Linked DNA regions of Drosophila melanogaster. The protein of the gene in region 1 interacts with the protein of each later gene in a biochemical or structural test. Each region holds a gene or a part of one and is shown on either strand. Other genes may lie near its edges.

What was found.
Region 2: of the proteins of cact (region 1) and pll, one has a biochemical effect on the other in vitro, tested with the Drosophila melanogaster proteins (one study listed by BioGRID).
Region 3: the proteins of cact (region 1) and Dif form a complex in vitro, tested with the Drosophila melanogaster proteins (one study listed by BioGRID).
Region 4: the proteins of cact (region 1) and dl form a complex in vitro, tested with the Drosophila melanogaster proteins (2 studies listed by BioGRID).

What each region holds. Positions count from the first base shown.
Region 1 is NT_033779.5:16,322,924-16,328,922, reverse strand, and holds the start of cact (cactus), read left to right. Parts: upstream 1-2,715; 5' UTR 2,716-2,902; intron 2,903-3,297; exon of another isoform or gene 3,298-3,429; intron 3,430-3,502; exon of another isoform or gene 3,503-3,868; 5' UTR 3,869-3,895; coding exon 3,896-4,590; intron 4,591-5,405; coding exon 5,406-5,583; intron 5,584-5,752; coding exon 5,753-5,963; intron 5,964-5,999. Other genes in the region: mRpL4 (mitochondrial ribosomal protein L4), read left to right, coding at 1-511, 574-793; CG4278 (uncharacterized protein), read right to left, coding at 888-1,766. UniProt on the Drosophila melanogaster protein: Involved in the formation of the dorsoventral pattern. It inhibits nuclear translocation of the dorsal morphogen in the dorsal region of the embryo. Acts as a negative regulator of the NF-kappa-B (rel) signaling pathway.
Region 2 is NT_033777.3:27,249,586-27,254,896, forward strand, and holds pll (pelle), read right to left. Parts: upstream 3,598-5,311; 5' UTR 3,373-3,597; coding exon 3,053-3,372; intron 2,995-3,052; coding exon 2,329-2,994; intron 2,266-2,328; coding exon 1,746-2,265; 3' UTR 1,546-1,745; downstream 1-1,545. Other genes in the region: TTLL6B (tubulin tyrosine ligase-like 6B), read right to left, coding at 1-193, 258-411, 469-765, 823-1,247; TfIIA-L (transcription factor IIA L), read left to right, coding at 4,017-4,040, 4,943-5,143. UniProt on the Drosophila melanogaster protein: Plays an essential role in the Tl receptor signaling pathway that establishes embryonic dorsoventral polarity; the signal directs import of dl into ventral and ventrolateral nuclei, thereby establishing dorsoventral polarity.
Region 3 is NT_033779.5:17,424,518-17,430,457, reverse strand, and holds the start of Dif (Dorsal-related immunity factor), read left to right. Parts: upstream 1-2,258; 5' UTR 2,259-2,802; intron 2,803-5,940.
Region 4 is NT_033779.5:17,446,613-17,452,197, reverse strand, and holds the start of dl (dorsal), read left to right. Parts: upstream 1-1,833; 5' UTR 1,834-2,322; intron 2,323-2,829; 5' UTR 2,830-2,902; intron 2,903-3,687; exon of another isoform or gene 3,688-3,920; intron 3,921-5,585. UniProt on the Drosophila melanogaster protein: Embryonic developmental transcription factor. The lateral or ventral identity of a cell depends upon the concentration of this protein in its nucleus during the blastoderm stage.

The DNA.
Region 1 (5,999 bases):
CAGATTGCTTGCCGGTGAGCAGGAACACGGCGCGCCAGGCATGGATTGAGAACACGGATGCTGTGGCGGAGCGAAAGGTTGGCCTGATTGAACTGCATCCGGATGTCTTTGCCGCCCAGCCGCGCGTGGACATCATACAGGAGAATGTGGAGTGGCAGAGCAAGTATCGTTATGTAAGCATGGCGCACACCAAAACTCGAGCGGAGGTGCGCGGTGGTGGTCGGAAGCCGTGGCCCCAAAAGGGAGGTGGTCGTGCCCGCCACGGTTCCCTCCGTTCGCCCATGCTGAAGGGCGGCGGCGTAGTGCACGGACCCAGGTCGCCTACGACCCATTTTTACATGCTGCCCTTCTATAAGAGGGTTTTAGGATTGACCTCCACGCTGAGTGTTAAGCTGGCCCAGGATGATCTGCACATCATCGATAATGTGGACATACCCACCGGAGATGCAGAGTTCCTTAAGGATTTAATCGCCGAACGGAATTGGGGACCTTCTGTTTTGATTGTAGACGAGTGAGTTCTGCTTGTAGGTGAACATATAATATGTAAATTGATACTGATTCTGTTTTTCTCAGAGACCATATGTTCCCCGCCAATATTTGCCAGGCTAGCGATGATCTGGGCTATGTCAACCTGATGCCAACCTTTGGCTTGAACGTCTATTCTATGCTGAAGCACGATACTTTGGTGCTGACAGTGGCTGCAGTGAAACATCTGGAGCAGCGCCTGCTCTACCAACTTAATCGAAACGACGCCGCCAGCAAGGGCGGCAAGTTTAAGCTGGATCAAGTCTAGAAGTTAAGAAAGTTAAATCCTTTAGTTTATTTGTAACCTTTATGGATGCGCCAGAAAATGCATTGTTAAACAAAAAATGCTTATAAGATCAAAGTTATTTTGATGTGCTCTTGTAGACGTCAACAAATGCGCTTAGTTCTTTGTTTATATCGCTAGCCACGGTGACCAGAGGATCCTTGTCCACTTCAGATACAAATACCAGGCATTCTTCATTTAAAGATTTGGCCAATATAGGGCAAAACTCATGGAGAAAACCCCTTTCTGAATTACTATGATTGCAGAGAAGAACGGTGGTATTGTTGTGAGTAAACTCCAGAACTTCGTGATGGGACATTTCGCCGGTAATGATAAGATCCGCTTGGATACCCTTCAGCAGAGATGCTCCAGAGCCGGCACAAATGCCGACGGATTGGATGAGTGTCTTGGGGGTGTGGCCCACAGCTAGAGCAACGTGCACGCTGTTTCTAATGCGCTTTTGCAGAGACTCCACCACCTGGGAAAGCTCCATTTTGGTTTCTATATATCTACCGGATCCGGTACCCGGAGGAGCACCCAACTCCGGTTCCAGAGGGCGGATGCTGATGATATTCACTGCCTTAGATAGCCAGTCGTTGACGCCACCACTCTTCTTATCCCACGCCGTGTGGGGCGAGTACAAGGCTATATCGTTGGCCAAGCATGCTGCCACCACGCGCTCCTTCCAATGTGACTGCGTAATCCTGGTCAGGGGCTTGAAAATTGGCGGATGATAGCTGATTATGAGCTCCGCCTCCTTCTCTAGCGCTTCTTTCACTACGGGCTCGGTTAAATCGTTAGTTAATAGTATTTTCTTGATTTGTTTTTCGCGGTGCGGTTCGATCAGGAGTCCCACATTGTCCCACTTCTCTGCCCAAGAAGTCGGAGCAAAGTTCTCCAGCTCCTTGACCACAGCCGCCAGCTTTTGACCACTAAAAGTGTTCATCCTTCTCAGCATTCCTTGACGTCCTTTGCAAAATATTTCTGGTCCTGCGTTTAAGATTTTGTGCAATTGACTTATTGGCCGGTAAGTGCTGCCAACTTAATTTTTGTTGTTTTACCTGCTCTTAAAATCATCTGTTATCACCCGCAATTTTTAAATTGGGCGATAAAGTAATTGGTTAATATTAATAAACATTAAAAAACACTACTATAATTTTATTAGCAGGTCACATTTTTGTTGCGTAATTTTGTTAGAAAAACATTTAATGAATATTTGGATTTTATAATAACGAGAATAGCAAAACAGTTTTAATAAAACGATAAAAGTTTATGTTATAGCAAACAAATAATTAGAAATTAACAAAATATTTAAAAAGTTTATATACCTTAATAAATTTATCAGATTGGCACCAAACACTTGTTTTTAATAGAAAAACGAACGCCTGATAAATAATAATTCAAGAAATTCAATCGGAAGCCGAAGAATTTAAATTTTAAAGAATAATTTAATTAAGTCATACAAAAGCAAAAAGCAAAACCCGACAAGGAAATGACCAAACCCCTAAAACTGAAGAGTAATTTACAAATTCCCAGCAATTTAATCAAAATTTTAGGAAACAAGTCCGATTTTTTAATAACCTATTTGTTATAATAAATAACTTTACAACTACGAGAGGCGGAATTTTAAATTTTAAATTAAAAAAGCGAGCAAAAACTTTCGAAACTACTTGTGACCGTAAACACAGGTTTTATGGTAAGAATCTGATAATCTTGTAAAGCCCCTCTAAATTTCTTGGATTCAGATAATTTTTTAATCAATACAACCTTGTAAAAACCAAAATAATCGTATATATAATATTTCATGAATTGGCGATAAAATGTGATTGAGTGTTAAAAAATCCCAGAAGGAGAGTGTATGACAAATCGGTCGCTCAGAATATCCCATGAAATTCAGAATTGGTCGAGGTTTCAATCGAAGCTGACCTGTGAAAAACCGAAGAAAGAATCCTGCATTTCATTTCCGTTCTCGGTCAGCGGGTGATTTCCCAGATATTTGTCCGCCTCGCCGTCATACGCATTTCAACCGTAGGACGCCGAGCATCAACATCAAGTGGCTTCGCTCGAGGAACTAAACAATCACACAATCAGAGAGTAAGAAGTATAAATAAACGCATCGCTGCTGTGGTTGCTTTTGTTGCAGCTGACCATTTAGCTGCTCATTTTGTTGTTGGGAGATTTTAACTTGGCGCTCTCCCTACTATCTGGCAACCCTATGGTCTCCCTCGCACACATGTAAAACTGATTTAAGCCCCGATTACACACTCCATCGTCGATATATTAAGGCAAACGTTTTCACTTCGGTCTTTTCAAGTCTAGAATTTTATTTTTTTTGGGCAAATATGAAAAAATAGATTTTTTTCAATTAACAGTTTTCTAAGTAAAGAAAATTTAAAATCGAGACTCTTCATTTCGTGATAACTCTTAGTGCAAACGGGGCTTTATAGTATAGACTGCCATATAAATATATACATATCAGCGCGCTCCCTCAATTTCATTCGCTATCGAAACGTGAAAGAAAGCAGACGTGCGTCCGGGTACTATGCGAATTGCAGATTACAAACATTTAAACCATAAATACGCGTTTTAAAGACAGCTTCGCAAGACAATTAACCAGCAAGGTAGTGAGAAATCCATAGAAAATAGTGCTGGGGTTTAAACCCAGAACATGTGCAGAAAATAAAAAGCGAAAAGGAAGCTGTGTGAAAAGGGAGATAAAAAATCTACCTCAGTGTGATTGTGGGTGTGTGCGGGTGAAACAACCGTGAAGAGGCAAATAAGACATTGGCAAATGGAAAAATCTAAAATTTTCAACCAGTGTGAAACCGTAATTTTTATTTTTCTGCGGCTACACTTGTACATAAGTCCATAAATTGCCTTTAATCTACAAAAATTATTGCGTTTTCACTTGTTCGCTGGAGCCTATATGTTTGTTTCACTCGCACCACCGAGGTGAGCGCTTACTGTGCGTGTGTATGTGTGTGTGTTTGAGAGACTGGGCTCAAAAGCAAAGTTCAAAACGACAGGAGTATATATATAACATATATACATATATTTTAGCCCAACTGAGAGAGGAAAAGCACGAAAATGCCGAGCCCAACAAAAGCAGCGGAGGCAGCAACAAAGGCAACAGCAACAAGTGACTGCAGCTGCAGCGCTGCCAGTGTTGAGCAGCGCGCCCCCTCAAACGCGGCTAACCCCTCGTCCTCACTAGCCACTAGCGGTAAAATTGGCGGCAAAACACAAGATCAAACGGCCGCCATTAACAAGCAAAAGGAATTTGCCGTGCCAAACGAAACCAGTGATTCGGGCTTCATCTCCGGCCCGCAATCCTCGCAGATCTTCAGCGAGGAGATAGTCCCCGATAGCGAGGAACAGGATAAGGATCAGCAGGAGTCGGCACCCCAAAAGGAACAGCCCGTTGTCCTCGATTCCGGTATTATCGACGAAGAAGAGGATCAGGAGGAGCAGGAGAAAGAGGAGGAGCACCAGGACACCACCACTGCCACCGCCGATTCAATGCGACTCAAACACAGCGCGGACACAGGCATCCCACAATGGACCGTCGAAAGCCATTTGGTCAGTCGCGGCGAACAGCTTAACAATCTCGGCCAGAGCAGCAGCACCCAAATCACCGGTCGCAGCAAGGTTCAATCCTCCACAGCCAGCACGGCGAACGCGAATCCTTCGGGATCGGGAGCAACATCATCCGCTCCGCCCAGCAGCATTAATATCATGAACGCCTGGGAGCAGTTCTATCAACAAAACGACGACGGCGACACGTAAGTAAACATTATAGAATCTCAGGAAATGTCACTTTATTCTAGACTTTCAAATTATTTATATATGTGCAAACCACATTTATAGATAACTTCGAATGTGTATTTTTAATGTGGGGAAATTCCCAAGTATGATTTAAACATTTTAGCGCCTTATCTCTAGGTCACTTTAAAAACTTTCCCATGCTTATTCTTAGACTAGCAATCATAAGAACTTTATATTTTAAATATTTTATACAATTGGACGGTATTTTTTGAAATTGGAAACGATTGATTATATTTAGACTGTCACAATCGCCAAAAAAAAATCTTTATTAGAATTTAGGTCTTCATGCTCTTAAAAATCAATTTAACATACTCATTGACAATTCACGATTAAAGATTTATAAGCACAGTCTTTGAATCATTTCCGAATTTCTATGAACTTATACGTGCCGTATTTCCGATGAGAATCCTAAAATTTCCCAAAATAACAAAGACAACGCCGCGTTGCACTGATGACCACCAAGCGAGCTAAGGGGAGAGTTTCGTGAATCACTCAAAGACGATTGTCTGAGGCGAGAAACGCGACTGACACATGTGTTTTAGTCAGGCTTTGGGGTTTTCCTGGTATGTGGGCAGGTACGGGAACAGGTTTTTCGGGGCACCTCTTCTTTCTTCACATTACTTTACCTCTACTTAACTTACTTGGGTTTTTACGCCGCCACATGAACGGCGACAAGTGTACAGGAAGGAAAGAAAGTGCGGGTGTTCGATCGCCAGGTAAAAGAAACCCACAAATTCATGTTGTTTTTTTTGCTCTCTCTCTCTCATTTCAGACCTTTGCACCTGGCCTGTATTTCGGGATCAGTGGACGTGGTGGCCGCCCTGATTCGCATGGCTCCTCATCCGTGCCTGCTCAACATCCAGAACGATGTGGCCCAGACACCCCTTCATCTGGCCGCTCTTACTGCCCAGCCGAACATCATGAGGATACTTTTACTCGCCGGAGCTGAGGTAATATTCAACAAAGATCGAATAAGAAGATTTAGATATTTGCATATTTGTAAAATCTAGCTTAATCCCCTATTGACGAATGTAATGTCATATCATCTTGATTTTCTAACAAAAGCTAATTTAAGTATTTATATTTGTAACAAAAGATTCCCATTACTCATTTGAATAGCCCACGGTGCGCGATCGTCATGGAAACACAGCTCTGCATCTTTCCTGCATCGCCGGAGAGAAACAGTGCGTCCGTGCCTTGACAGAGAAGTTCGGCGCCACGGAAATCCATGAGGCCCACCGACAATATGGACACCGATCCAACGACAAAGCGGTCAGTTCCCTGAGCTACGCCTGCCTGCCCGCCGATCTGGAGATTCGCAACTACGATGGTAAGTAAAGTGCTAGTTACATATACCGCACTCAAG
Region 2 (5,311 bases), on another chromosome or scaffold:
AGTTCCGCTTGTTCACCGAGTAGTTGGTCAGGTGCATGTACAGATCGTTGGCGTTTCCGGGCGTGGGCTCCACGTACTTGTTCGTAGCAAATCTGGCCAATCCCTCGTTGTACACGAAGATGCGCAGGGGATCCACGGAGGTAATCAAGGTGTACACACGCAGATCGAACTTGTACCCATCGATGAGCAGGGGCTGGAAAAGTGGATGCGATGGTTAGCCAGCGTATGGGATTCCGGATGAACAGCGGATACATTACCCTGTGTATGTACGTCTGGCAGATGAGGCGCTCATGTGGACCTATGGTCTTCAGGTCGTTTGTCAGCCAGATGCCACGACCCTGGGCACCAGAATCCGGTTTCAGGATGAACGTGCGTTTGTGGTTGAGCGCGTAGTTCATGGCATCTCCATAGCTGAAATCGTTGGTATCAATGATTAGCACTTTCAGTGTGAGGCTGGGGTTTACTTACTCCGCCGGCAGCATCCAGGTCTTGGGAAAGATCTTGTAGTCCTGTGGAAAGATCTTTAGCATTCGATTTAGATTCCGCGAGAGCAGATCCTTGCGACAGATCTCGATCATGCCCGGAAAGTGATTGATCTGCTGGAAGCGCTTCATGTTCTTGAACAGCTCTACGCCGGGAAACGAATCCGACCAGAGGATGTTCCACATCTTGGACTCCTTAACCAACTTGTAGCCCAGCGTCTTGGAGATCTTCCCAATCATGGCGTAGCGCGAGTTGGACACGCAGATGGTACTCTTGGTTTCGCTGGGGGATTATGTTAGATGCGTTATCCAATAAGGATCCAAAGCTAAGGAAGATCACCTGGCTGGCCGCTCCTCGTCGACGTTCATGGGAGGATTGAGCACCCGAGTGGGGCATTCCACTCGGTAGGTCTTGTTGTTCAGTTGAATGAATCCCTGCAGCTTGGCTTCCTCAGCAGGCATTGGGCTGTTTTCACCAGAAGATGGTCCGTAATATGGGGAGTTATCATCCACTTGCTTGTCGGCGGCTGTCCTCCTCTTGAGGCACCGGGTCTTCTTCATCCGGCGGCGTGGGGACATGGGCTGCAGTGGCGGTGATTGCTCCGGACTGAACCATTCCCGGTCCAAGCACGGCTGCTCATTAAGAGCCATGTCCAGGGCGCGAACAACGTGGGTCCTCTTTTCGCGATCCTTCCGTATTTTCTCCTTGGAGAAGTGGCGCAGCTCCTGAATCCTCTTGAAAAACTTGGAATTTTTTAAATTCATTGTCTCGTCCGCTGGTCGTCCTTGATTAAAAATTGAAAATTTTTCACGTGCTAAAAGCTATATCTATAAAATTGATTCGTGTCAATGGTTAGAGCCGGAATTCTGCGTCACGAATAAAAACAATATTATTTTGCGATGATTGTGTTGTGAAAATGAAAATAATTATAACCGAAATGACGCTAAAATCAAAACGTAGCTCCACTGGCCACGTCGCTTGAGTCGTTTGAGTTTTAAATCATCGATTTGGGGCATATCATAAATTTAGTTTCTCCGAACATCAAACATACCACTAACAACTAAGTGTACAAAAATATTTAATAAACAATAGGGTAAGCATTTACAATTTAAGCATAACAATAAGTCTTTAGGGAAATTTTCGTTGGAATGTTAAAGTTAAAAATATATATTGCGATTGATCACAAAATGTGGAAATGGTTTACAAATGGTCCTTCGAGCTTTTCAAGTTCGTCAATAAAATGGTAACATAATAAGGCCCATCTAGTCGGTAACAAACGGTTCGAAACGCTTGAGCACCGCGTTCATGGATGGGCGATCCTGCGGATCCAGGGCAGTACAGTGCAAGCCCGCCTCGATGGCGCACATGCACATGTCCAGCTCCTTGCCCATCGGTGCTGCTAAGTGCTTCTCTAGCAGCTCCATCCGGTTTTGCCGCCACTGCTGCTTAACGTAGTCCAGCAAATTCTTCTTCGTCTCGTTTTCCGGCACGCGATCCGTCACCTGACGACCCGTGAACACCTCCAACAGCACAATGCCGAAGCTGTAGACGTCCACGCCCGTGCTGAGTTGTCTGAAGTTGCGGAACTCCGGTGGCAGGTAGATCTTAGTGCCGAAAACTTTATTCACTTCCACCACAGCGTCCAAGGACTTGGGACCCTCGCGCACCAGACCGAAGTCTCCGATTTTTGGCTGCAGACATTGGTCCAGCAGGATGTTGGCCGGCTTAATATCTCCATGAATCAGCGGTGTGCCTCGCGCCGTGTGCAGAAAGTAGATGCCTCTTTTGGAAACGAAATGAAAAGTTAAAGAAGATTGATAGCACTAAAGAAACGATAAATCCCACCTAGCCGTGCCGAGGCTGATGCTAAACCGCTGCTGCCAGGTGAGTGCTGGTAGTGGGTTTTGTGCCTTATGCGCTCGTAAACGAGCCTCCAGGGAGCCGCCCTTCATCAGCTGGTAGACGAGGCACGGCTTACCACCTTTGATGCTGTATCCGTAGAGGGCCAGGATATTGTCGTGCCGGATGCTGTTTAAATACTTGAGTTCGTTGTAGCTCTGCTGCAGCTCCACCATTTTCTGGTCGATGTTGGGACTGCGGTAGTTCATCACCTTGATGGCCACGTCCAGTTGCTTCCATTTGCCGCGGTACACGTCTCCGAATCCGCCCTGTCCCAGTCGATTATCCGGACTCCAGCCGTCCGTGGCGTTTTCTAGCTCCGCATAATCGATCTCCAGCAAGGATTCGGCTGCCCGCTGTACGGTGCTAATGTGTATATTGCCCAGGGACTCCAGGCTGGGTATCTCCTCCGTTGCCGTTGTGCTGGTGCGATTGTTGTTTGAGTTGCTGACGCCCGAGGAGGAGGGAAACGGCGGGCCGTTGTTTACTTTGGCACTGGAATCGGGAGCAGCGCGCAGCTCGCTGATGGTGGGCACGCTCCTCGGTATGTACTTGTGCAGATCCTCGCTAACGTAATCTTTGATCAGACGCATGGCGTTATGAAGCTTCAATCTAAAGTAAGAGGAGTCATTTCTGGGATCTCGGCGGTTATTATCTCAAACTGACTCACTTTTTGAACAAAGCAAACAATGTTTGCACCGTGTGATTGTACTGACCGCCCCAAATGTTGAGGAACTCATTGGAGGCTGAGCGGCCACGCTGCTTCTGGCTGCTTATCTGCTCCACCTGGTCGGGATAGAGTTTTACGGCCGTGGCCAGCTGTTGCCATACGTCTAGGGCATCCAAGTGGGCACATAGCTGGGCTCGCACGGGCAACGGCAGCAGTCGGATGGCCATTGTGTTGTCCAAGTGGGAACGCGACCTGGTCCTGTTGCCATTCGCTTGGTTTTGGGCCTGCGCCTCGGCTTCGGCGGTCTGGACGCCACTCATCTTTCACTTATGGGCGGGCGGTTCAACCGGTTGCGACTGATTCATGCGGCTCCGGATGCAAGAGTGCCCGTTGGATGAGGGGTTGGCGGCGCTGGTAACCTGTTGCAGCGAAACGAAAATCGCTTTTGGGTAAATTCCCAACGCGATTCGATGAAAACCTGTGGATGACTTGTTAACAGCGGCGCAACAAGTGATAAAGCAGCTTAACAGAGCGAAGCAGTCTGGCAACGCTGCCAATGTCTAGCAAATAATACACTCGAAAAAGTGGTAGATGCTTAGGAGCCACTGTTTAAAATTCAGAAGTAAAAAGAAAGCAGAGTAATTATTAAAAAGGTATTTGCTGTATGAAAATATTAAATAGATTTTAAATAACCTCCACATATTTTATGTAATTTGCACAGTATTTTGTATACTAAAATATCTTAAAAAATACCAAAGGCAATTAGTGTATGACCAAATGAGCCTTGCAGTTTGGCGGACATGCGTCGTTTTCAAGTGCCCCGCAGGTGGCCACACTGCTGACACCGTCACGAACGCATCGCTATCGCTAATTCTTCGCTTCGCCCATTTATAATTCAGCAAATACGTCAATTAGCCCCACCAGCGAACGGAAAAGCCTCAAGCTGGCGGAGAAAAAGGTCCAAATGGCGCTATGCCAGACATCGGTGGTGAGTGTGCGGCTGGATCCCCGAGATCCGGTAATTGTGTCAGCGGCGGTGGCTCCATTGCATTCGACATATGGAAGGCATCCTACCAAGGAGTTTCTCCATTTCCTCCAGCTTCACCTCCTTCCGCCGCCCACGCGGGAAAGTGAAAGCTTTCCCAGTGGTCATGGTAGTTACTACAAAACGATAGTTACAACTGCTGAAATCCGAGATACCAAAACTGCAAACCTCTCGGGTGTGGATGTGTGTGCATGCGAGTGCGTGTCTGTCTGGATGTCGCTGTGTTAGTGCGTTCGTTGCCTTGCAGTTTTGTATGTTTCTTGCCCTCTGGATTTTCCGATTTTCGGCTTTTCCGCGTAGTACTTCAAACTCCCATGGGGGGTTATATTTAGCAGTAATACACGCTGCGTAGCTTGTGCTATTATCTACAAGTCGGGGCCTCCTTCCTTATCGTCCGCTGATAACGCAAAACAAACTATTAATAAAACAAGCAACTGGCATACCGGTGTATATATATGTACAATGTACATATATATATATACCAGCATATGCATGGTATCTATGTACATATGTGCACTGCGACATTCTTCGCAAACAAATAATTTACATACTTTATTTGCGTTTTGCATATTCACATTACAGCTGCGTCTGAATTTTAATGGGAGCTCAAAAAGGCTCACCACATACTGTGCGCCACATTTTCAACTTCTATAGCGTCTTGCCCTTTACTTGCTTCGTGGATTTTTTGCGCAATCCCTATTGTTTTACCCCCAACTGTTTAGGCCCTAATAGCGTGAAGTTGAGCCGCGATAATATAATGAGTGTTTAAGTCAACACAAGCCCAGATTTGTCGTGCATTTCAAATTTAATTATACACAATTAACCGCATCCCCTCTCGCCCGCAGCTGAAGGTGTACCATGCCGTGATCGAGGACGTCATCACAAATGTGCGGGACGCGTTCCTGGACGAGGGCGTCGACGAACAGGTGCTGCAGGAGATGAAGCAGGTCTGGCGCAACAAGTTGCTTGCTAGCAAGGCCGTCGAGCTGAGCCCGGACTCCGGCGATGGCTCCCATCCGCCACCCATCGTGGCCAACAATCCAAAGGTAAGCGAAACGGAGCCCTTGGGTGGATATTCTCATCGCGAATCCTTGTGTCTGTCTAACTTAACGTAGAAGTCCATACAAATTGTGATATCTTCATCCCAAAAAAAATTTCCAACTAAGATATCTTGCTTTATCTTTCTTATGCTCCACCACTTGAACCACTACAAT
Region 3 (5,940 bases), 1.1 Mb from region 1:
AATGTCTTGAATGTTAATGCACTACGCGCTTTGTTTCTTTACCTCTTTTGAGGGCGGCGCAGACCTTTCGACTTAATTCAATCACTGTGAAAAAGCTGTAGATCTGTTTTCTATTTCGCATTTTTTAACACTATTCACCTTATAATAAATTATTTTTTTTAAATTTACATGCTTCAGGCATCTGATAAAATATGCCTTTAAAGAAAATGTTAAAATTAATATTTTAATAAAATACTAAACCAACAAATGCAACAAAATCCACTTTAGATATTATTTGTCACTTAATTCAATAGGCCATTTAATATCCAGAAATCTATAATCTTTAAGTGTTTTTTGTTAAGATGTATGTGCTATTTGTTTCTCCCAGTGCATATTTGGTGGCCTTAAACTGGCGCTGGCTGAAGAGGAGCAATAAAAGCGGCAGCAACAACAAGTGGTTGCTCAACTATGCGCTCCGCCGTCAAGCCCCCTTCGCCCCCTTCCACCCCCTTCCACGATTTCTTTGGGGCTTGGCTTTGTTTTTCTGCATTCTCTCTTCCTCGCTCTCTCTCTCCCTCTCGTTCCCGCTCACGCGCGTGACCTTGAAGCGCAAATGTGCCAGAATTGCAGGGGGAGTTGTTTGGGCGGGGGTAGAGTCTTTGACTTCTCCCCCTTTTTTTCTTCTCTTCTTCTTCGGGGAGCTTAATAAAGAGTTGGAGATTTCTGTGACGTCTGATATGTTTACTGAAAGTGGCTACTACGTCATGGGGCATTTGTCATACATGTATGGCTAAAAGCACAATCGCAACTAAAATCCTTCTACAGTGATCCCTAGCCATAAAGAGCAAGAAATTTTAAAATAATAGAATAAAAGTGTGGATTACAATTGTAAATTTGATAATAACATGTTCAAAAAGTTATACAAATTGTCGTACTATATTTTCATCTATATCTAAATATTCATATTTGCTCAATAAATTGCTAAATAAATAAATATCTGTTTTCCTAACTTAAAATTTCTCAAACCCCAGAGCTGAAATAGTTTAGTTTATTTTTGCACGTCCTGAGGTATTCTTGGCTTTGTTGCAATCCTATATAGATGTAAATTGCGGCCGGGAAATTTGCTCCCAAAATGCATTTTGTCCGCAGACGAGCCCACGCTACATGAAAACTGTGTTTTTAGTTCGAAATTTTCGTGGGCTAGCAGAAATAAATTATACTATTTTCATTCATGCACAACAATAATGAAATATTTCCACCCGATTGGCAATGTTAACTGCAAATATTTTTCCCCTACGTGTTTGGTCTGCACTTGTGTTTATTTCAATGACTAAAATCTGTCTATGGAACAGAAGCCAAAAATTGAGTTAATAACTCAGTTCGACCTTAGACGTTGGCGAATCTTTTTTCGGTCTCATTTGGGAATTTTGTTGGCGTGAATTAGCAACGTTGTATGGATTTTATAATTTACATTTGCCGAGGGTCGAACTCGTTTCAGGTCTGTCAATTCCTGGGAAAATCAATAAAAACATTCAGCTGTCATACCTATATTAGATAAATAGATCTATTGTTATGCATCTGGCTAATAGTTGTCGATTTTTTTCGGCTTCTCATTCCAGAATGGCGAATGATTCACATAAAGAAAAACTTTTCCTCCTATCTGATCTTATAATAAACCTTTGATCTTGATTTGTCCAGAAACCTGTGCACTATTTTAAACGAATTTTTAATGAGAAAAGAGTTCATGTGAAATAACATCTTAGGTATTTTGAATTTTTATGATATTTCCAAACCATTCATAACAATAAATTTTCATTCCCAGCAAAAAGTACACATTTTTTTGTAAGGGAATCAATGTTTACTTATAGCCGAAAATCGAAATTGGAACACCTGCAGAGCGTTATAAAAATCTCAACACTTTTCCAAATCCACTTAAAAATCTATAACCATTTTTTCTGCTCGATGGCGTCATAGGAACGCACTTGAACACAAATACATTAGAGAGAACGAAACATTGAGTACGCACAACGGAAATGAAAATAAATAAAGGAAAAGTGAAGCAGTTTCGAAAATAAAAACAGATATTGGCACCCTCCGTCAGTTGCGATCAGCAACCATCATATCAGCAGCGGTAACTTTTTATCACGTATACGTATCACGTATACGTATCAAGTATACGAACCGAATGCATGCGATCGCAGAGAGCGAACAGCTGAGAATGGAGCCTGAGCTATCGAAGCCATTCCGAAGCTCTCTTGCAGCCGAGTGTGAAGCGAACCGCTCAGTTTCAATCTGAACTTGGCCGCCGACGGACGTGAAGCGCCGACTTGTTCACACATAGATATCCATACATATATATATACATATAGATGTACATATAACGCATATTGTGCAAGTCGCACGCGACTATATAGCTGCCAGTGTATTGGTTAATTATACGAAGCACGACAACTACAACGTAAACTACAGATGTGTGTATAAATCAATGTCCGCTCTAAACAGGCGGCTGCAGTGTCAATAGCAAAAATTAAACAAAACTCAAAAGTAAAATACATGAGCGGAGCAACAACGTCGCTTGTGGGAGCAACTTTTGTTTTTGTTTTCAATTTCTTCATAATTTTTTTGGCGCGCCTTTTGTGAGTCGCGCGCGATAAGTCCGACACATAAACCGAAAACCAGTCAATCATAAAAGACAAATTTAATCAATTACACGTGTCAACACAACAAAGAGCTAATTCGATTTCTGTCTGACCCAGTGCATTCGGATCGAGAATCCAAATTTAATCAAGCATTTAAAGCAGCCTACCTACTACACCATAAAAGGTTAGCTATAATAAATTTTCTGAAACTATAGTCAGCTAGCTAGCTTAAGGCGTAGTTTGTAAAGTCCCCGGTCCAGAAGGCGGCTTTAGAAACTTAGGTACAGACAGCTTCCCGTGTCAGGTTCGATTGCAATGGCACTGCAAAAAACTACGTGCCAGCAACTCGGCGGAATTCATAAATTTTAATCCCAGATACATAAATAAGTACACAATTTTCCGATGCGGGCAATTACTTATCTAATGCCACGTGTAATGAAATTTGTATTTATTAATAGTGAAGTGAAAAACGGGAATACGGCCGGGTTCACTAGACTGCGTAATCGCAAAAAAAAACGACAAAAAATTTTAATTTTTAGTGTATTATTTTTATTTTGTTTTTTTTGTCCATGCGGGAAATATTTTAAATATTTTTGTGACTTCTTTAATCTACTTCCTGTTTGATTTGAACCTAAACACCCGAAAGATTATAGGCATAGCTATATCAATACATTAAATATAGACTTTGTGCAATACTTCGTAAATATTTATTAAAATATGGTATGTTTTTGCTTATCAGCAAATATATATTTCTGCTAGTGTAACTGCAGTTTTGCAACCCAACAGGCGTATAATATATGCAAATGAAAACAAGAAAGGCGGTTGACTGCGATTTATTAAAAGAGAATAACACTCAGTACGACATTTACTAGTAGTCCCAGTGTTTCTTTCTTGTTTTATTGGTCGACTACGAAAAATCATTAACATACTGGTTCAGATTTGTACATTTGCACATAACATATGCCGGAACTGCACCCTAGAGTAGACATTTCCTCCCAAGAGCAATAATGTATGCAATTATAAACATTATAACTCTTATCTCAAAATTATAGTGCCAAAGCTGTTTGTGACGTTTTCACATTTCAAGCTGTTGTATTGGAAATAATTTAGGCGTTGATATAAAAAATTGGAAGAATATAGCTACTCAGTTAGTCTTTAAATAACTTTCCAAATGTGAAAGAAAATCTGCTCAAGAGGAGCCAAAAAGAAGAGGAATTCAATGGTCAAAAAAAAAAAAATCGAAGCAAATGCAAATATTTATATTAACAAAATGTAAATATTTTTACAACTGAAATCGGCACGGCAAAAGTTTATAAAAATTTGCGGTGGCATCTGGAAGATTTCGTTTATTTCATTTGTAATCAAAGGAATATACAACCTGAACCGTGGAACTGAAACTGCAATCGAAAGACACGAAATGGCATAAAGTCTTTAAGACTTTTGCCTTATCCGCACGCAAAACATTCGGCCATTTGGCCGTTTCGGAATCCATAAAAATAGAATGAAATGGAACAGTCATGGTCAAAACTTACTCAAATATCGATTTATCTGCTCCCAGCCAGCAGCTATCTAACTTGTATTGGGCGATGAACCGATGATGCCAACGGCAGCGGAATTGTTTTCGGTAATTGTAGAAAATAAAACACAAACAAAGTCCGCACTTTTCACACCTTTTGGTCCATGTGTGTGCGATTGCTTACATACAGTATAAAGTCGCAGTCTAGCTATAACTTTGCCAATTGTATTAAGCAGACTTGTTTCCGAATTGAAAGTTATTGTAAATTAAATGCCAGCGGGAGAAGGAAGGTCACAGCCTGTACACACATTTGTGTGTAGGGTGCAAGTCTAATTGGTAAACAATTGAGAAACGGTCAAAACGATGAACTCTGGATAGAGCTGGTTAAATATATGTTGCTAAGAATTATCAGAAACCTTTGAATTACTTATTCTTTAAATTAAAATTTAAATTAAAATTTAAAGAATACACAATGAGAAGCTTCATGTAAGCTATAGTATTTTCACCCACCAGTAATCGATTCAAAACTATTTTTACTGTAAAATAATATAACAAACTTATACTAATTATGTTTGTTTTCAAGAGTCAATTCAGCTTGATCAGTTTATTGAATACTTGTACACTTTTTCGGAAAACCCAAGAGAGCAAATGCAATTGCTTTGAACTTATTTCAATTAACTGATAAGACTTGAACTTTAATCAGCAAGAAGAAAATCCCAGCGGGGCTTTATATTCTAGTCTCCCTGATAACCCGGCGTGAGATTGAGTACTATACCTTATATATATTTCTTTTCATTTTCCGCATGAACAAAAACCAACTAAACTTTAAAATGATCTGTCATTCACATTTACATCGCCAACCAAAGCCCAAGTTCTACAAACAATTCACGCCACCACACAATTTTACAAACAATGCGGGGAAAAATATAGCTGAATCCCATTACGCATACGCCATGTTGTACCGAATCTGAATTGATTGAATCGTGAAAAGTTTTATAGCAAAATAATTAAATGCTGCGGTTTCCTCCAATTTTCGGCCATCGCGTGTCGGTCGTTTTTCTTGGCTGAAAGCGAATGTACGTACGAACGATTTGTCTTGGCCATTAGAATGGAAATGGCTCCAACGCTTGGGTAAATGAGGTCTGGTGCGATGTGGTCTGGCTCGGCATTCTGGGAATGTTTTTGGGGTGCTCGGGCATTATTTACTTGACTGCAAAAATGTTTCCTTTGATTTGCTTGAAAGGCAATGAAAATCGATTGGCTGTACAATTTAACTTTTGACTGCAAATGGGTGGTGATGAGCGAAGCCAACCTAGATGTAACCGAATTAATTACCTTTTAATTAGTTTTATACATTATGATTTTTCAAGTAACACGGCACACAAAATAAAAATAGCAAACGATTCGAGCATTCGACCATTCAAAATTGCCCTAATAAAAGTTGACACCGTCGGAGATTATATATTATTTCGTGTTTATCGTTTTCGTCGTTGTACTATTTACTTATTTTCTTCATAATTGCTGTCAAATGTGACAAATATCGTTTTATTCCCATTCAAAGCTTCGAACTTTTAGCTCCTAACTTAGTCGAATTTGATTCATAATTAGCTGGGAATTACTTATTGATAAGCTTATCAGCAAAAGAAGCTTAGCCATTGGTTAGCGTGCCTTCATTAAACTGGAAGCGATTTAAGCTGCGTACTAAAATCAATTTTTGTATAAAAGATTATGGAGCTATAAGAATAAGAAGAAAAAGAATTTCTAAGAATTCGATTATGTTAAGCCGAAAATTATATTACGATAGAA
Region 4 (5,585 bases), 1.1 Mb from region 1:
GCTTATAAGGGGGCAGGATCCATTAAAAATTACCTCGCGGGACTGGACGAATATCGCGTGATTTTCGTGGAAAACCCGCTGCAATTGGTTGCCGGCCTTGTGGGAGTGGGAGCTTCTCCATTCACCATTGTTTGATCGATGTCTGGACTCCATTAACCGGGTTGTTGTTCTACGTTCGTGCCATCAAGACATTGCGAGTTGACTTAGTCCCGCAATTCCCCCACTCCAATTCCACGGGCGGCGATGGCAATTGATGTGGAATTTCAATACTAACATTTGACATAATTCCTATTTATTTGCGCTTAGCTCACGTGCACTTATGTATGTATGTATGTTTACCAGGTGGCATGACCTTCGTGCCAGTGTGGTTTTGATAACGATTTACGATAATGGCGGAAAGTCCTTTTTTATGCATATGTACGTAGTATTGGGAAGAACTTAAGCATGTGGATTTTGTGTCACCGACCATCCAACTTTAATTAATATTATTTTTATTCTTATTTACTTATAAATTTTTCACAGTAATAAAATAGGAACATTTAGTACTTATTTGTAATTTTGTCATGAAATTATAAAAATACTACCTGGTTCTTTCGCATGTATTTCAAACTGATAATATTTCGTTTTCCAAATAATGTGACAATTATATTTTCTATTCATCGTTCATATTTAATAATTTGGTTTAATTAGCTGAAAAACCCAAAACATAAAAATCCTTATCTAACGTGCGACCACTTTTTAAGCGATGTATTCAATTATCAACTGTACTGACCCCCATTTCCCCAGAAGGTGAATCAGCAATATTATCAAATTCCGCGTAACAAGCCGTCTTGAATGTCAGAGGTCCTCCGCCCGGAAAGTGAAAGCTGCTCCGGAATGCTGAGCACGAAGCAAGTGAGTCACGGCATTGAGACTCTGCCGCAGTGGAAATTAATGCCACAACAAATGCCGGCGCAGGATATTATCCTTTTTCCAGGAATCGTACGCTGATTCAGACCCCCCAACCGCATGGGTGGGAGTGGGGTCTTAAATGGATAGCTCGCAGCCACACACACAGATAGTTAGTGCTCACCGTGCTGTTTCATTCATAAAAGCTGAAAAAGCTTTTCGGAGGCAGTCGCTCGTGGAGATGAGTCACATGTGAAAGACACTGAGATAAATGACGGAAGTTATTTTTTCCATTTATATTTTACTTTTCGTAAATATGCATATATAGTTGGAATATTCGGCTATTTAAACGAATCTCACATTGAAAATCGAATTCTTGATGATTGGTTACCATACAGTTGAATTCTCAATATTTAAGAAAAACAAAATATTTATATTTTCCGATTCCTTTGGGATGCTCCTAATAAAAAGATATGCATTTTCAATTAATTAGGTATTCCTTCAATATAATACGTGTTATAGATTTAAAAGGTGACACATTTTAAAAGCTTTTGAAAGAAACAACTGGCCTGCATTCCTACTAATCGGTATCAGTCAGATAAAAACATTTATATTATATGTATGTATATATTGTTTCGCCTTTATGCAATCATCGCGTATTCCTCGAAACTCGGATTTGTGGAAGATGTGGACATCTGTAAGCTATAAGTCGCAAGTGGAAAACTTCAATCGTACGTGACTCAGCACATGCTGATCTCGCACTCTTCGCCAAGCTAGGCTCTTCGGATTGTCTCTCTTCTGAGCTTAAGTCGAGACTGCAAAGAGCAGAGCTTGGGGCCGACTACTTAACTCCGTTGAAAGCTTCGCGATCTGCAAGTTTTGCGGTATTTTTCAGTGGCGCATACGGTATTGAAAGTTTGGCTCGCCTGTTTCTTCTTGGTGGGCAGTTAGTGTTCAAATCGCGGGCGTCGAGATCGGTTGGTAGTGCGTGTGTTACGGGTATTTTATCTCCACCTCCAAATTGTGCCTTATTTACCTTTTTCGCTGTGCTTTAAGCTTCCGCTCTCTTTCGCTCTTCTGGAGCTCGAAGGCAGGTTGAAATACCAGTAGATAAAAATAAAACGAAAAGTAAAAGAGCTGCATAAAAACGCATAAATTCAATTGAGCTCTAAGCAAGTTTCACTTGCTTTTTCGTATTACGAGTGACAAAAAAAAGAGACCCACCAATATAACGGAGGAAAAAACAAAAATAAAAAACTCGGCGCACGTATTGATAATTTCTATTAAAACTGAACGTTTACCGATTAGATTACACGGCACATCGACACTTTAACCACAAACATCGCAAGAATAACCAAAGAAAATGGAGGGCAGAGCGCGATAACAAATTACCCTAAATTATAAATCGAATAAATCGAAAAACAAAAACAAAAGGTAGTCGTACGTCGATGATCGCATAAGCATAAAGCCCGGAATTCCCTAGAAAAAATCGACGTCACGCGCTCTCTCGCGCTCTTTGCCCACTCTCTCTTTCTTCGGACTTCGATTTCTTAACTTTTCATTAGTTTCTGTTCGAACTGTTCTCCCCCATCCGTTGTTTTTGTCGTTATTATCGATATTATCGCACCCGCTTTGTGCGCGCGCAAAAGTTAAAAAAGAATAAAATAAGAAGAATCAGAAAGAGAGAGAGAGAGAGAGTGAGTGAGAAAGGGAGGGAAGAATAAATTATTTATATATAAAAAATAATAAATAAACCGGTTCCTGCCGTGCGTGCTTGTGTATGTGTTAACATTAACATGAAAAAAGCGCCATATTTCTCAACTATAAATAAATGGCTTATTTAGCTCGCTGTGCAACGGACTAATTTTCCAATTAACACAATAAGAAACTTAACAAATAATGTACATAAAAGTGTACTAATTGGTTCGCGTTGAATTTCAGGTGTCCGATTTACTTAGCAAACCCAGTGATATCAATGCATATAAGCGAGATTTCAGATCACTCCTTGACTTAGGTGAGTCCCCCTATAGAGCCTAGCTTAATTTATTGATTCTGAACATTGATTGCACGGATTAATAAAGTGCGGTGGAAAATCCTAATGGCTGCGTTTTGCGAGAAGGGTCTTGATATTTTAATAAATATGTACACAACTATTGCTTCCAAAGACGCAAAATGTCATTACAAAGAAACGCATCTTGCATTAAACATATTAAAAATATAACCTTATTGAGTCATTGGACGCCTTATCGTTTCGGAACAATGTTTACAGCAACAACATCGTGATTTATCAACCATTATTCACACTTTTAAGGTTTGATAAACCAAGACTGGTCACTTTTCTCGCATATTAATATTTTTCATCCTAAATAGTTTTAACATTTTGACAATGTTTAAAATTCCTGGATGCTAAGATTTGTAATAGCTCACAATTTCTGCATGACAAATAATAGTTAAGATGTTAAAAAAAAACTATTAGAACGTATTCAATCCTTTGTAGTGTAACCGCAGTTGTTGTTGTTGTGTTTTTTGGGTGGCAATTATCCACCTGCGTATTAAATAATCTACGGTGAATGCAAACGATAAACTTAAATAATACAACCGAAACACCTGTGTACATGGCAGCGCAGTCGCAGTGGCTTTTCGACGTCGCCATAAATGAAAGTTTCTTACGGGCACGTGGGTGGGCGAGGGGGGCCGTGGGGCCCAGAGGGGGTGGGGCTCGTGGAAAAGCTTTTGCCCCTTGTATTTATTTATTTTTTGCTGCCACTCAAATACGCCGGAGAGGTTTTCAATTGTTTCATTCTAAGATCGACTCGATGCGCCTGCGGTCGTGTTTGCGCTAACATTCTTTTATTTTTATTAAATATTTTTAAAATTCCCTAACGGTTCGATATTATTTTTAAGTAATAATTTGAAAAGTACCATTTTGAAAGAACAAACTGCGGTTAGTGTGCGTTTTGTGGCCCAAATAAAAGCAAAAAGTGAAACCGAATTCGTCATGAGTGTTCACTGGTTCTTGGTTTGATTCGCAGGTAATTATGAAGAATGAAGAAATGCTTTTAGCTGCTAATACGGTGTAAACTCGAAAAGTGCAACCAAGTTAAATGCAAACCGTGTGCTGACTCATAACATCAGACTCTCGTCTCCGGGACCAAAGAAAATCAAAGCGCTAAAATCGCTCAACTCGTTTCCAGCAAGTCATCGGCGATTTACAAAGCTCGAGTAGAGATTTGTGTGCTAACAGAGATCTAAGGCCAAGTCAATAGATAATATTGGTTATATCTACTGGTAGTTTCCCCGTATGCTAAATCCGAGTCATGATTGATACACGATCTGGCTGTGGGTAAGGCCCTCCGCTATGCAAATCATCAATCAATAGGGATTCTATTTTAGGCGAATATCATTTAAACCACTCGATAAGAAAGATCGTGGCCGTTATAATTGGAGATACGGATAAGATATGTATCTGCATTTTTGCCGGAAGTCACATGTGCACAATAATCCCTGATCGGCTAATTTAACAAACATTGTTTGGTGTGGAAAATAAGGATAATGGACTTGTATTCATACGATACAAAACATAGCTTTTGGCAACTAGTTCCATCGATTTGTCAGCATATCGGTTATTTATTTTTATTTGAGCTGTAAATTGCTTGACGCCAACGATCGTTAAAAAACATTTGTCTGTCTGGAGTTCTTGTTTTTTTTTTTTTTGCGGAACCCGTTTCACTGAGGAATTTTTGGCTGCTTCTGATGCTTTGATGTTGATCTTAATCTTAATTTGTGGTGCTGGCGCCAAAAGAACTTTTTTCTGTGTGTCTTTGCTATTGGAAATTGCATAAAATTAGCATGTTAAATGATCGAAACGAAATGTTCATTTTATTTTGTTTACTTACCTTTTTTTTTTATTTTTCGCCAAAAGTAGTTATCGTTGAACGAGTAGAACGTTATTTTATTAATTCATTTTATGGCTTAACAGCATAGACTTTTTTCTTTTGAATTTATCGTGTGGATTTTTGCAAGACATGGTGAAAATTAATAGCTAATCAAATAAATTATTTATTGTTTTGAGCAAACGAAGGGCAAAACCATAGGAAATTCCAATATAACTCCCCTGCAAAACACTTAAACCAAAAACCATCTATCGATACATTCTCAGGCCATCGTCATTTAGATTTATTTTTATATTCTTATCTTACTTTTGGTTATCTTTGAGTTTTTTTTTCGGATTTTCTACGCTCAACACCTGAGCGTTATCAGTCTGAATGCCGCAGGTTCTATCTGACGGGAATAAACGGTGGCAAATTTGTGTGGTTGCAAATGGTTCTAATCTCAATATAGCTGCGGATGAAACCATCGTAAATAGTGTATTGCAATTAAATTCGGTGGCAGTATAATTCTTGTTAGCCTTTGAATGACATATTAAATTGGTTAATCGATTGAAACTATGGGAATTTCCAGTATTTTGATATCCTCAAAATATTAGATTTAATTTTCAGGGTAACTGACCTATTCTCGTTCAGTTCCATACCTTGTTCTCAATGAGAAAGTCACGTAGTTAGTGAATGATTCTTGCCAAACAGTGGGTGGCACACGAGCGAATTCCTTGCATATTTCAATATATTTCAATATACATACATAGCAAGAAATTTGTTTTGTGACTCATTGTGTTTCGTGGAAATTCGTGTCCCAGTCAA